2 linked regions of the Sus scrofa genome follow. The protein of the gene in region 1 interacts with the protein of each later gene in a biochemical or structural test. Links are inferred from orthologs where the notes say so. Each region holds a gene or a part of one and is shown in the gene's direction. Other genes may lie near its edges.

Region 1 (6,137 bases):
CCACATCCACACCACCACCAGATCTGAGCCACATCTGCAACCTACACCACAGCTCATGGCAATGCCAGATCCCTGACCCACTGAGTAAGGCCAGGGAGCAAACCTACATCTTCATGGATACTAGTTGGGTTCATAACCCACAGAGCCACAGTGAGAACTCCTGACTCTGCCATTTATCCACTACATGAGCAGGGCAAGTTTTTAAATCTGTACCCCCATTCTTCCACCTGTGAAACAGGAGTGATGATAATAGCAAGTATCCCTAAGAACAACTGGGAGGATTAAGTTAATACCTGTAAAGCACTTAGAATAAGGGTTGTTATTTTAATTCCATTGGCAAAGCCATCTCTGGCTGACATGCATGCCTCAGGCCTGATGATATTGAATATTTGCCTTCGCTTCCTCTGATGCCACTTTCAGCAAGCAACCTACTCCTTCCCATGTAGGTTTGCTCACCCGGAAAAAATGTGCTTATCACAGAGATTCTGAGAAATTCCCATCCCAGAGCTTGCAATTTCTTACAGCAAATCGATAAATTACTTCTGGTTATGCCTGGGCCTCTAGCATCACTTGACCACAGAGACAAGACACAGGTGTAATGGGAATGGACGATTTCAGTCCAGGAGCAGATGTTTTGATTTCTAAATCATCGCCCTGGCATTCCGGTGCCTGTCTCCACCTCGGTGCTTTTGGGTTAGAACACAGACACTCAGGCTCTGATTTTCCTGCAGAGCGATGTGTGTGTGCAAGTCCTTAGTCTCTAAAGCAGAGGGCAGCCTCAGCTGGTTTTACCACCCAATACCGTGGTCCCACCCCTCATAGCTCCTTGACTGATCCTGGTACTGCTGTCCCTGGGTACCTTTACCTGAATGAATAAAGAGCTTCCGGAACACTGGTTAGAAATATAGGCAATAAGGATTCTGTAAGTAGAAGTATAAACCTAAGAGTTTCTCATGACCTACCTGTAGTGACTTATAAAAAAAAAAAAAAAGAAAGAAAGAAAAATCCAAATGTTTTCATTTCATTTCTGGCACCTGCCTGGAATACCAACCACCCAGGCTCTGGAGATTGGGAATTGCTCTGTGTTTTTAAACATTCACAATTAAAAATGTGAGTCATTTGAGAAGGGTTAGAGAACTTTCAATGATGCTGTTCATCAGCTCAGTGGCAATGTGTTCAATAAGATTTCTTTCCTCCTGACACCTTGCTGGGTTGCATTTACCTTTAGGAATTCTCTGATTTGTGAATTTGGGTTTGGTTTGGTTTCAAAGAAAGCACAGAAAGAAGTGGAAAGGAAGGTAGATGAGATGAATGAAACACTTCCAGAGCTCCCTGAGATGTGCATAGGGTGGAGGACCCCTGAGAGTTTCCAGGACCAGGAGGATTCTGGGAGATTCATCTAAGACATGTGTTGGCACTTCTGGATTGGCCTGGGAAGATAACCAATAATTTATAATATCGTTTCCCAGGAAAAAGCAGCTTGAGTTCCAAGTCACTCAGAAAGGAACTTCTGAGATAACAATCCATTGCAACCGAGTTCTTAAATAGTGGACTTTTTTCTATTGGACCCAGGGAAGACAGACAAAGTCCCAGGAAGCATTTGGCGTGGCATTGCTGGGGCGGGAGAGGATAGATCAGGAGCAGAGAGCATGTAATGTACTAGGGCAGGAAGAAAAATTGTCCCTGGGGTCTGGGGCCAACAGTGACCTGCTGAAAACCGCAGCCATAGAGACACCTCTTCAGAGACCTAGCAGAAAAGATGTCCTGCATTTAAGGAGAAGTTTCCCTGCACTGGGGTTATGCTGACATTTCATCCTGGGTTCCTGGGACAACCTTCCCTCTTGCCTTTCAGGGAACCCAGGCTGTCCGTCTGGTCTGAGCCCACCTGAGAGCCTCTGCGGAAAGGAGAGACAGGTAAGAACCGAAGCCAAGACTTGGCTTTTGGAAGCCAGAGTGAAGAGACTAGACCCAATTAGGGGTTAGGGCGGAGAGACCGTTCGACAGAGGGTGTGATAGGGGGCTTCAGAGCATCCAGTGAGCGGACCAAGGCAGGACACCCAGACCGTGCGGGGTGCGGAATAGGCGCCGAGGGAGAAGGGTGAGTGGACGAGAGACGGCTGGGGGCGGGGTGGAGGGAAGCTGTCCCTGCGGCGACGTGCGCTCAGAGCACGGAGGCGGGGAGGGTCTGAGAGGACGCGCGGCGTGTGACCGCCGAGGCTGCGGCGGCTGGAACAGGTGAGCGGCCGCCAGGCGCTGGGTCCCCGCCCTTCCCGGCGAGGGACTCCCCCTCCGAACCTCCCCCGCGCTTAGCTGTTTCGCGGCTTCCCTTGGGTTTGGGGTTTTGCAACTGGCAGCTGGCTGCCCCCCTCCACTGTTTCTGTCTCTCCTTCTTCTTTTAGGTAGCTCCACCCCGCCCGGGATCAGGCCAGGGGGAAGCTGCCGACTGCGGCTGCCAACTCGCGCCGGGCGCTCCAGCGAAGTCGCGGAGCGGAGTCCCGCGTCCCGCCTCCTCCCTGCCGGGCGCGCTCTCCTCGCTCCCCGAGCAACCCTTCCCCACTTTTCCCCCCTTTTGCAATCGCACGGCATTTTAAGAATGCCGGAAAGATGGCGGTAGCAGCGGCGGCGGCAGCGGCAGTGGCAGCGGGGCCGGCCGGCGGGGGAGGCGGCCGGGCGCAGCGGAGCGGGCTGCTGGAAGTTTTGGTGCGGGATCGCTGGCACAAAGTTCTGGTGAACTTGAGCGAAGACGCCCTGGTTCTGAGCTGCGAGGAAGGCGCTGCGGCGTACAACGGCATCGGGACCGCCACCAATGGCTCGTTCTGCAGGGGCGCCGGCCCCGGGCACCCAGGCGCAGGCGGCGCGCAGCCCCCGGACTCTCCCGCCGGGGTCCGCACCGCCTTCACCGACCTGCCGGAGCAGGTGCCCGAGTCCATCTCTAACCAGAAGCGCGGCGTGAAGGTGCTGAAGCAGGAGCTGGGCGGGCTGGGCATCAGCATCAAGGGGGGCAAGGAGAACAAGATGCCCATCCTCATCAGCAAGATCTTCAAGGGGCTGGCGGCGGACCAGACCCAAGCCCTGTACGTGGGCGACGCCATCCTGTCTGTGAACGGGGCCGACCTGCGGGACGCCACCCACGACGAGGCGGTGCAGGCGCTGAAGCGCGCTGGCAAGGAAGTGCTGCTGGAAGGTGAGGGGTTAACGCTGCGCGGGCTGCCTGGGATACGCACACCCCAACCGCCTCCTCCCGCCGCATCCTCACACCCACCCACGTGCCGCCACACCCCAGGGGACCGCCGGGCGCGGGTGGCGGAGTTTTGACAACTTTGACCCACTTGGGGGCCACTTGTCCCCACCTGCGAGGCGTTGACCCAGCAGAGGTGTAGGCAAAGTCTCGGTGAGCAGGGTTTCTTGAGTTCGTGTTCTGTGCAGAGCACGGGGTCGGAGGCGTAGTTCACGTAGTCTCAGTTTTACGGGAGCCAAATCTAAGCGTAGCTTAGGGGCCCCAAGTAGAACTGGCCATGAAGGGGGCACGTCCACGTTACAAAGCCAGCTCACTGAGTAATCGCAACTCTGACAGTTTTCTGCTTTGGCAGTTTTCTTCTCTGAAGCCTGGGCAGCCCAGCTAAAAGGGTCGAAGCTCAGAAGGGCCAGAGAGGGGTGGTAATGTGTGCGTGCTAAAACTCCCACCACCCTTCCCGACTGCCCTTTCAAACTGGAAACTGGCCTTCTGGCTGGGGCGTTGTGCCAACGGCTGGGGAGTGTGTTGCAGCTTTATGCAAAAGTTCACTTATGCTGCCAGGTGTTTGGCCGGTCAGTCTGGATTCCAGGTTGCTTTGGGCGGAGGGCTGGTGAGGTGGCTTTTCTGCCTGCATTTTCCCAGTGTTTCCCCCCCCCCTCAGAGTTGTGGTGTGGAAACAACTTTGCATTTGTAAACAGTTTTCCTTGCCTGCGAGGTGTCTAAGAAACTACTCTCTTAAGATCTGATGTGTCCATTCCCCTAGTTACCAAATGTGAATAGAATGAGTAGCACCTTTTGTACCCGTTGGCGGCTGTGTGGTGTTGTGTAGGGAGAAGGGCAGTAGGCGAGTAAGGGGTAATGCGTTCTCCTTTTCCACTACAGCTGCCATTTTCACTTGCTGTCTGCCTCTCTGCCCCCTTACCTAGCTTTGTACACACCTCTGGCAGCACTAACATCATGTAAATATCTATTTACTCAGCCTCCCGCCAATGTGGATTGAGTTGTCTGGGGGGTCCTATATTTGGTTATGGGTCATCTCCCTTGAACTCCATGACATATGTGCTGAGTCAAGGAAGAAATGAACCCATGGCCATTGAAACTGACTGTTTCAACTGAGACTTGTAAGTGGTGGTTGATCTAAACTGAGAACTTAAGTCAGTTTCCTGCTTAGATGCTGGTGTGTGAAACAGAAAGTTCAAAGTTGGGAAAGGGACTCTGTTCCCTGCAACAGCTGATGCAATTCTGTGGTATGTGATGGCCCACCTCCTGGCCTAGAATACAGAAGGGATTTTTTTTTTACCCCCTTATTTGTCTAGAGGATTTGTGATGTCTTCATATTTAATTGCCACCTGGGATCCAGAAAGTAGAAGGCTATTTGCTTTGGCTTGATGATTAACATAGTAAACAGAAAAAAGTTTTCTTGATTCAAGTGTGGGTTGGCCTGTGTGACAAGGGGCAGGTGGGATCTGAAGCAAGTGTAGTTTGGACTATACACAGCTAGACACCTGCTCAGCTTGCAATATTTACTGCAAAATATCAGGGGGCACAAAAGGCAGGTCATTTCTGTTTCAGGCACTGCCCCTCATTGTGTCCCTTCTTCTAAGTTTCAATTTAATGAATAATGACTTAGCAAAGGGGTTTAAAAAAATTAACCAACTCTCTCACCCCAAAAGAGGAAGAAAATGTGACTCCCTACAGTTGAAAGTAAACTTAGACAAAAGAAAAAAAATTTTTCAAGCAATCATCTGACGGTATTGGTGCAGCAACTGAAAAGTGAGTTTCATTAAAACCTCTTAAACATAACATCCTTACAATGGACTGTTATGTGTTCCAGGCAGGACCTCTAGGGGAAGACCTCTGGGTTTCCTAGATGTGAAGCTATGGGCTTGGGGCTGCAGTCTTATTTCCAGCCCAAGTCTTCAGAAATCAACTGCTATTAGGATAAACCAGTAGATCTCCCCTCCCCCCTTCAAAACAGTGTCTCTTCTTCTGAGAAGTATTGGTTCTAAATGCGCTGGGAGTGATCATATATCATCAAATCACCTGCAAATACCCTCTCTTTTGTAGGTTGGCCCAGTGCAGGGATTCCCAGCCCAAAGGGGCTTTTCAGAACCACAGGAAAGGCTTTTTAAAATCACACATCTATTTGGTCCTGCACTGATATGCCATCTTGATTCCAGAATTTCTACATAGGAAGGGCTTTGAAGATGCAATCCAGTTGGACGAGAGAATTAAAGGAGATGCATTAAAGATACATTTATAGGGCAAAGACGCTGTTTTTTTTTCCCTTAGATTGCTTTTTTTTAGTTGGTTTGTTATTTTAGGGGCGGATAGAGACTAGTTCAGTCCCTCAATTGCTAACAATACACCCCTCATTACGTGACATGCGCCCCCTAGTGGAGAATGACTGCTTCTAATAATGGAACATCTTGTGACGTGAAACCCTGCCCAGCAAATTTCTGTGCCTGCGTTCTAGTCTTAGATTTGGCCACAGAAGGATCTTAACCTCCCAGAGCCTCGATGTCTTCTGAAAAATAGGAATAAGGGAATGCTGACTTAAGGGGCTTTGGTATGGAAGAGCACTCTAAGAATTTAAGAAAAGGGGGGGGATTTATCAAATGCCTGCTGTGATGAGTTATTTTTACAATTCAAATGAAGATGGAATTGCCCCTCCTAAGGGACACACCTTTCCTCTTCTTTTACTAGAGTTTCTATGTTTAAATTTTTATTCTGCTTTTGGCGGGGGTATGTGTTATAGAACTGTAATCTTAGGAGACCATTGCTCTGGGAAAAGAGCATCCTAGCAACCACTAACATCTCTTGAACACTTGCTGTGTGCCAGGCTTTACTTACATTTGCTCGTGTTATGCTTCTAGTAACCCCGCAAGGCTAGTGCTTCTGT
Region 2 (6,204 bases), on another chromosome or scaffold:
GCTGTTATAAATTATGGACACAGACACATAGCTTACAGCTTCAGTTTTACAACCTCAATCTCAAGTTGAAAGTAAACAAAGAAACACAAAGACTCTGCAGTTCAGATCTCAAAATAATTGTTCTTCCTAGTGGGCACAAAATTCTTAATCAATTCGAGTTCATAAAGGACAAACAAAAATACTAAAAACCATACCTCCTCACACCAGTCAGCATGACCATCATTAATAACTCTATAAGTAACAAATTCTAGAGAGGATGTGGAGAAAAGGGAACCCTTCTATACTGTTGGTGGGAATGTAAATTGGCACAACCACTATGGAAAACAGTATGGAAATACCTCAGAAAACCAAATATAGAGGTACCATATGATCTGGCAATCCTACTCCTGGGCATATATCCAGACCAAACTATAATTTAAAAAGATACATGTACCCCTATGTTCATTGCAGCACTATTCACAATAGCCAAGACATGGAAACAACCTAAATGCCCATAGATAGATGAATATATTAACAAGATGTGGTACATATATACAATGGAATACTATTCGGCCATAAAAAGAACAAATCAATGCCATGTGCAGCAGCATGAATGCAACTAGAGATTCTCATACTAAGCAAAGTCAGAAAGAAAAAGACAAAACCATATGATTTAACTTATACATGGAATCTAAAATATGACACAAATGGGAGTTTCCATTGTGGCTCAGTGGGCTAGGAATTTGACTTGTATCCATGAGGATGCAGGTTCAATACCTGGCCTTGCTCAATGGGTTACAGATCTGGCATTGCTGTGAGCTGTGGTGTGGGTTGCAGACAAAGCTCAGATCTGGCATTGCTATGGCTGTGGCATAGGCTGGCAGCTGCAGCTCTAATTTGACCCCTCTCCTGGGAACTTCCATATGCCACAGGTGCAGCCCTAAAAAGCAATAAATAAATAAATAAATAAACAAAATATGGCACAAATGGGACTATCTACAAAACAGACTCACAGACATAGAGAACAGACTTGTGGTTGCCATGGGGGAGGGGGAGAGAGTGGGATGGATGGAGAGTTTGGAGTTAGTAGATGCAAGCTATTACATTTATAACAGATAAGCAAGGAGGACCTACTGTATAGCACAGGGAACTATATCCAGTCTCTTGGGACAGAACATAATGGAAGATAATACGAGAAAAAGAATGTATATATACATATGCCTGGGTCACTTTGCTGTACAGTAGAAACTGGCACAACATCTAAAATCAACTATACTTTAATATAAAAAAAGAAAAATACTAAAAACCTGGATTCTTTGTCATCTCATTTCTAAAAGAAATTAGATCTTCATCACCTAGCAGGTATCACCAAATGGTTAGGCCATAAAACCAAATTCCCAATCATTGCTATCCATGTGAAATAACTTAGCCATGCATCAATCAGAAACAAAAACAAAGTTTTAAAAATTCAGTAAAAAGTAAAAACAGACAGTAAACTTAGTTCTATAACCACTTTGGATTAACTGTAAGACAGTTAATATATTCCTGGGTTTAAACCACCCATGAAGTATGCTTTCTTGATCATAAAGTTTGGTTCTATTATATGAGTCCATTTGGGTGTCTCTGTAAAAACTTAAGATTTCCAAAATTAAAGTATAATTTTCAAAAACAGAAAGCCATGTTTCTTGTGCAAATATAAAATGAACATTTATCAGAGTTTTGTTAAATGAGGGAACACGAAGTTAAAACCAATTCAAAGAGTTTATGAGAAAGCAGACATATATTAATTTAAAAACACTGCAGAGTTAGATGCAAACTGGTTAATATCTTGCAGAATAAGTCACAACCTGTGGGGTTATCTGGCCCATCAGACAGAAATTATTTGCATTATCTGTCACACAAAAATCTACCAGTTAACCTCTGCCTTAGCAGAATTATAAAATAGCCTGGTCAGGAGTTCCCTTGTGGTACAGCAGAAACAAATATGACTGTTATCCATGAGGATGCAGTTCAATCCCTGGCCTCGCTCAGTGGATGGGGATCTGGGGTTGCCAGTGAGCTGTGGTGTTGATCCCAGACGCTGCTAGGATCTGGCATTGCTGTTGCTCCAGCTGACCCCCAGCCTAGGAACCTCCATATGCGTGGGTGCGGCCCCTAAAAAAAAAAAAGCCCAGTCAATAGAAAGTCAAAGCCAGAAAAGCTATGAAAGAAAACCTGGTAATCTCTTGCCAATTTTGGATGATTTTTCTCATAGGAGTAAGGTTGTGACTATTGCATGAGTATACCTATATTAAAAATTACTCATTTATCTGAAATTCATATTTAACTGTGAATCCAGTATTTATCTTTTAACCTTAGTAACAAGTTAACAAAAGCTTTATCAAGGCTGTACAGTTCTATTACCAACAACGTATCTCTTAAATCTGTGTATAGCTTCATATTCTTGCCTAGATAATAAATATTAAGTAGCATTTCGAATGCTCGTCTATTCTTCACATTTACCACTGGGAGGCGCCTGTAACTCACAGTCTACTGGATGCCGAATCGTAACGAGGCTATGAGAGTGTTTCAACTTCTTATCCGCTAGGGGGACAGTTCAGAAACCTCTCAGGTTTCACAACAAGGCTCTGCTCTCGTGCTTGCTAATAATCTGAGCGCACGCGCGCAACTGCTCCAAGGCCCGCTCGGACTGCGCAGGCGTTCCAGTGAGCGCGTGGAAGCCTTTGGTAGGACTCACCGGACGGAAAGGGAGGGGCTGGAGCCGCTGGGATAGCACACGCTCGGGGGGTGTAGGCTGCGCACTGCTGGGTCGCTGTCCGGGCCGCGCATCCAGGTATTTGATGCTCCGTGGAGATGCCTAGCCCGGGCGTTCAACACGAGGACGGCGCAGGGCTGGTCTCCACTGACAACTCGACCCCTCAAAAGGAAGATCTAAGCCGCAAGGTGAGTGTGGGGACGAGGTGACAAGGCCCCCAGGCGCGGGACAGGGTGCTATTCGTCCTCAGAGAAGATCCACTGTGGCCGTGTGGTCCGATTTCGGCTTTGCCGGACTGGGCTGCATTGACAGCTACAGTTAAAGGGAGATCGTGAAACTTGCCCCGAGATTAGTCCCAGATAGCAGTAGGGTGGAGGTTTAGTTGGGTGGTTTTGTTTTTTGGGTTTTTTAAACCCCAAATTTTTAAGTCATTTTAAAAGCCCTTATACAATAAAATTTACCTTTTTCCTTTTCTGTAAATCTAGCACATGTATAAATTTGTTTGACTACCACTATTGGGATACAGAACTGTTCCATTACCCCAAGAGACTCCCTTTATAGCCATGCTTTCCCCCACCTAGAAGCTCTGGCCGCAGCCTGATCTGCTGCCGATGACAGAACAGTTTTGTCCTTTAGGGAACATCATGTAGATGAAATCATAGCATATGTCATTCTAAGATTGGCTTCTCTCACACAGCATAATGTCTTTGAGATTTATGGTTGAGTTTTCTATATACTCTTTTTTTTTTTTTTTTTTGTCTTTTTGCCTTTTCTAGGGCCGCACAAGCGGCATATGGAGGTTCCCAGGCTAGGGGTCTAATTGGAGCTGTAGACACCGGCCTACACTACAGCCACAGCAATGGGATCCAAGCCTCCTCTGACTTACATCACAGCTCATGACAACACCAGATCCTTAACCCACTGAGCAAGGCCAGGGATCGAACCCACAACCTCATGGTTTCTAGTCGGATTCGTTAACCACTGCGCCACGACAGGAACTCCAGGTTTTCTACATACTGTTGAGCTTGGGGGCATGTTGAAGTTTGTTCCCAGGCCAGTGATCAAACCTGTGCTTCAGCAGCAACCCAGGCCACTCCAGTGATAACGCTGGATCTTTAACCTGCTGCACAAGGGAAGAAATACTGCCCACCCTAGAGCTGCTGCTGATATCCTGTGCCTCAGAAAATATCACCACCAACTATCCACCTGTCTGTGCCAGTAATCTGGGAGCCACCCCTTAAGTCCATTACAAAGTCCTATCAGGTTAACATTTAAGGCCCACTTCAAAGATGTCCCTTTATCACCATAGCTCACCACTTATACTGATGTGTGATATATCCCTGAGGTGTTTAAGGTCTGGCAAAGATCATACAGGATCTCCTTTTAGAGGCTTTAGTGATACTATGTAATCAGTCCTGTTCACAAAATAACTACCATTACTGATTGAACCTTCTCTTACTAATAAAAAGTGAGACCTAGTTCAACAGTGACAGCATCTGTGCTAGCTTTTGAGATACAGAGAGGAGTAAAGCAGAGAGGAAAAGTGATAGGTTGTACTGCCCCCCACCCCCAACCCCCCCGGTAGGGCATTTACTACTGCTTGCTTAGTCTGAATGTGTGGCCACACCATTTAGGACATAAGTCATGAAAAGCATTGGTATAGAGGGATGAGGTTGGGAGAAGTGACCCCACCCCACATTCCATTTGGTATTTTTCAAGAAAGTTAAAATACAACTTAAGTGAAATCATTGAAAAAAATGGTATTGCTTTTGGGTTTTGGTGCAATTATGTTTTTATTTCATATTGTCACTTTTAAATAAAAGGTATAAACCTTGTTTAGTAACTGTGGCTGTTCCCTGAATATGAATGCTGGTTGCCAATATCCTATCTGGGTCCAAGGGGCCATCTAACACCTGGCAAGTCTGATCACTCTTTCTTCCCCCAATTTTCCCACACTTGCACCACCACACACACTGTTGTTGAAAACAATCTATATATTCACCGACTGTCCATTTGGACAATCAGTACATTTTAGCCCCTTATCACATCTTTTTAATTTTAAAGGTCCCTCAGTGAGCATACTTTGCTAACTTCTGATTTAAGAAAATCTTCTTTATTTCAATAGATTAAAGAACAAAAAATTATTGTGGATGAACTTTCTAACCTAAAGAAGAACAGGGTAAGTTATTAGAATTATTCTGAACAGTATGCCAGAGGGTTTGATTATATCTCATTAGCTTATATAAAAGTTATAAGAACTATATATAAGATTTATGTCAAAATTTATAAGATTTCAGCATCTTTTTAGTTAAATTGCAAAAGTGAAAAGTGTATATGTATCATATATGGATGTCTATATATTAATCATAGTTGATGATATCTTTTCCCCATAATATGCAATTGACATTACCTTTGAACAAAGTGATACTAATTATTTTATCTTGGAGCTGTAATCACTAATAGTCTTTGTTTTATACTTGAATTTGGTGTTTTCTTTTGAAATGAACTTTATTTAAATATACTAAAAAGATAAGAAACTAGTCCTTTAAGTGAATGTAGATAATTAATTTTTTTTTAAAAAAGGATAAATGCTTCCTCTTCCCCTTCCCTGAGTTTTTTACAGAAAGCTTCCAAATCTTTTATTGTTGTTGTTTAACACCATTTCTATTAATGTATTTATAAACAATCAAGCTACTGCTTCATGTGTAGTTATACTTGCCAAAAATTATATTTTGAAGGTAAGGAAGAATGATTTGAACCCTTTAAAACATTTTAAAAATTATTTGGTAACTGACAGGTTAGACATTTCTGATATGGTCATTTGTGGAATATTAGAAGTTAGGGTACAATTCATACAAACTTTCTAGAGGGCAAGTTGGCAGAATGTACCAAAGTTTTAAAACTATGTAACACTTTGATACAGCAGTTCTATTGATAGGAATTGATACTTAGGAAAAAAAAAACTATGGGAGTGGAGTTCCCGTTGTGGCTCAGTGGTTAATGAATCCAATTAGGAACCATGGGGTTGCAGGTTCGATCCCTGGCCTTACTCAGTGGATTAAGGATTCAGTGTTGCCATGTGCTGTGGTGTGAGTCACAGACATGGCTCAGATCCCACGTTGCTATGGCTGTGGCGTAGGCCAGCGACAACAGCTCCGATTGGACCCCTAGCCTGGGAACCTCCATATGCCGTGGAAGCGGCCCCAGAAAAGGCAAAAAAAAAAAATTAAAACAAACAAACAAACAAAAAAACATGGGAGTGCATCACAACATTGATTTATAATGGTGAAAAATTGGTAACACCTGAAACTTGAGGACTGACCAAATAAATTGTAATATTACAAAAGAAAAATGGTGTAACAGTGGTGTTACAGTATACACAGAGAAAGAGTTTTACCTCAGTGTCCATGGTAGCAGTTTCTAGATAGTTGGATAATGGGTGACTTTTGTTTGTCCGTATTTGCTAAAGT

Evidence for each region.
Region 2: the proteins of SNTB1 (region 1) and ASNSD1 interact in a test that uses a peptide from one of them, tested with the Homo sapiens proteins (2 studies listed by IntAct, with this or other methods). The link is inferred for Sus scrofa from reciprocal best matches to the Homo sapiens genes SNTB1 and ASNSD1.

The regions. Positions count from the first base shown.
Region 1 is NC_010446.5:18,286,656-18,292,792, forward strand, and holds the start of SNTB1 (beta-1-syntrophin), read left to right. Parts: upstream 1-2,100; 5' UTR 2,101-2,235; intron 2,236-2,399; 5' UTR 2,400-2,604; coding exon 2,605-3,184; intron 3,185-6,137. UniProt on the Homo sapiens protein: Adapter protein that binds to and probably organizes the subcellular localization of a variety of membrane proteins. May link various receptors to the actin cytoskeleton and the dystrophin glycoprotein complex.
Region 2 is NC_010457.5:94,259,348-94,265,551, forward strand, and holds the start of ASNSD1 (asparagine synthetase domain-containing protein 1), read left to right. Parts: upstream 1-2,562; 5' UTR 2,563-2,922; intron 2,923-4,859; 5' UTR 4,860-4,913; intron 4,914-6,204.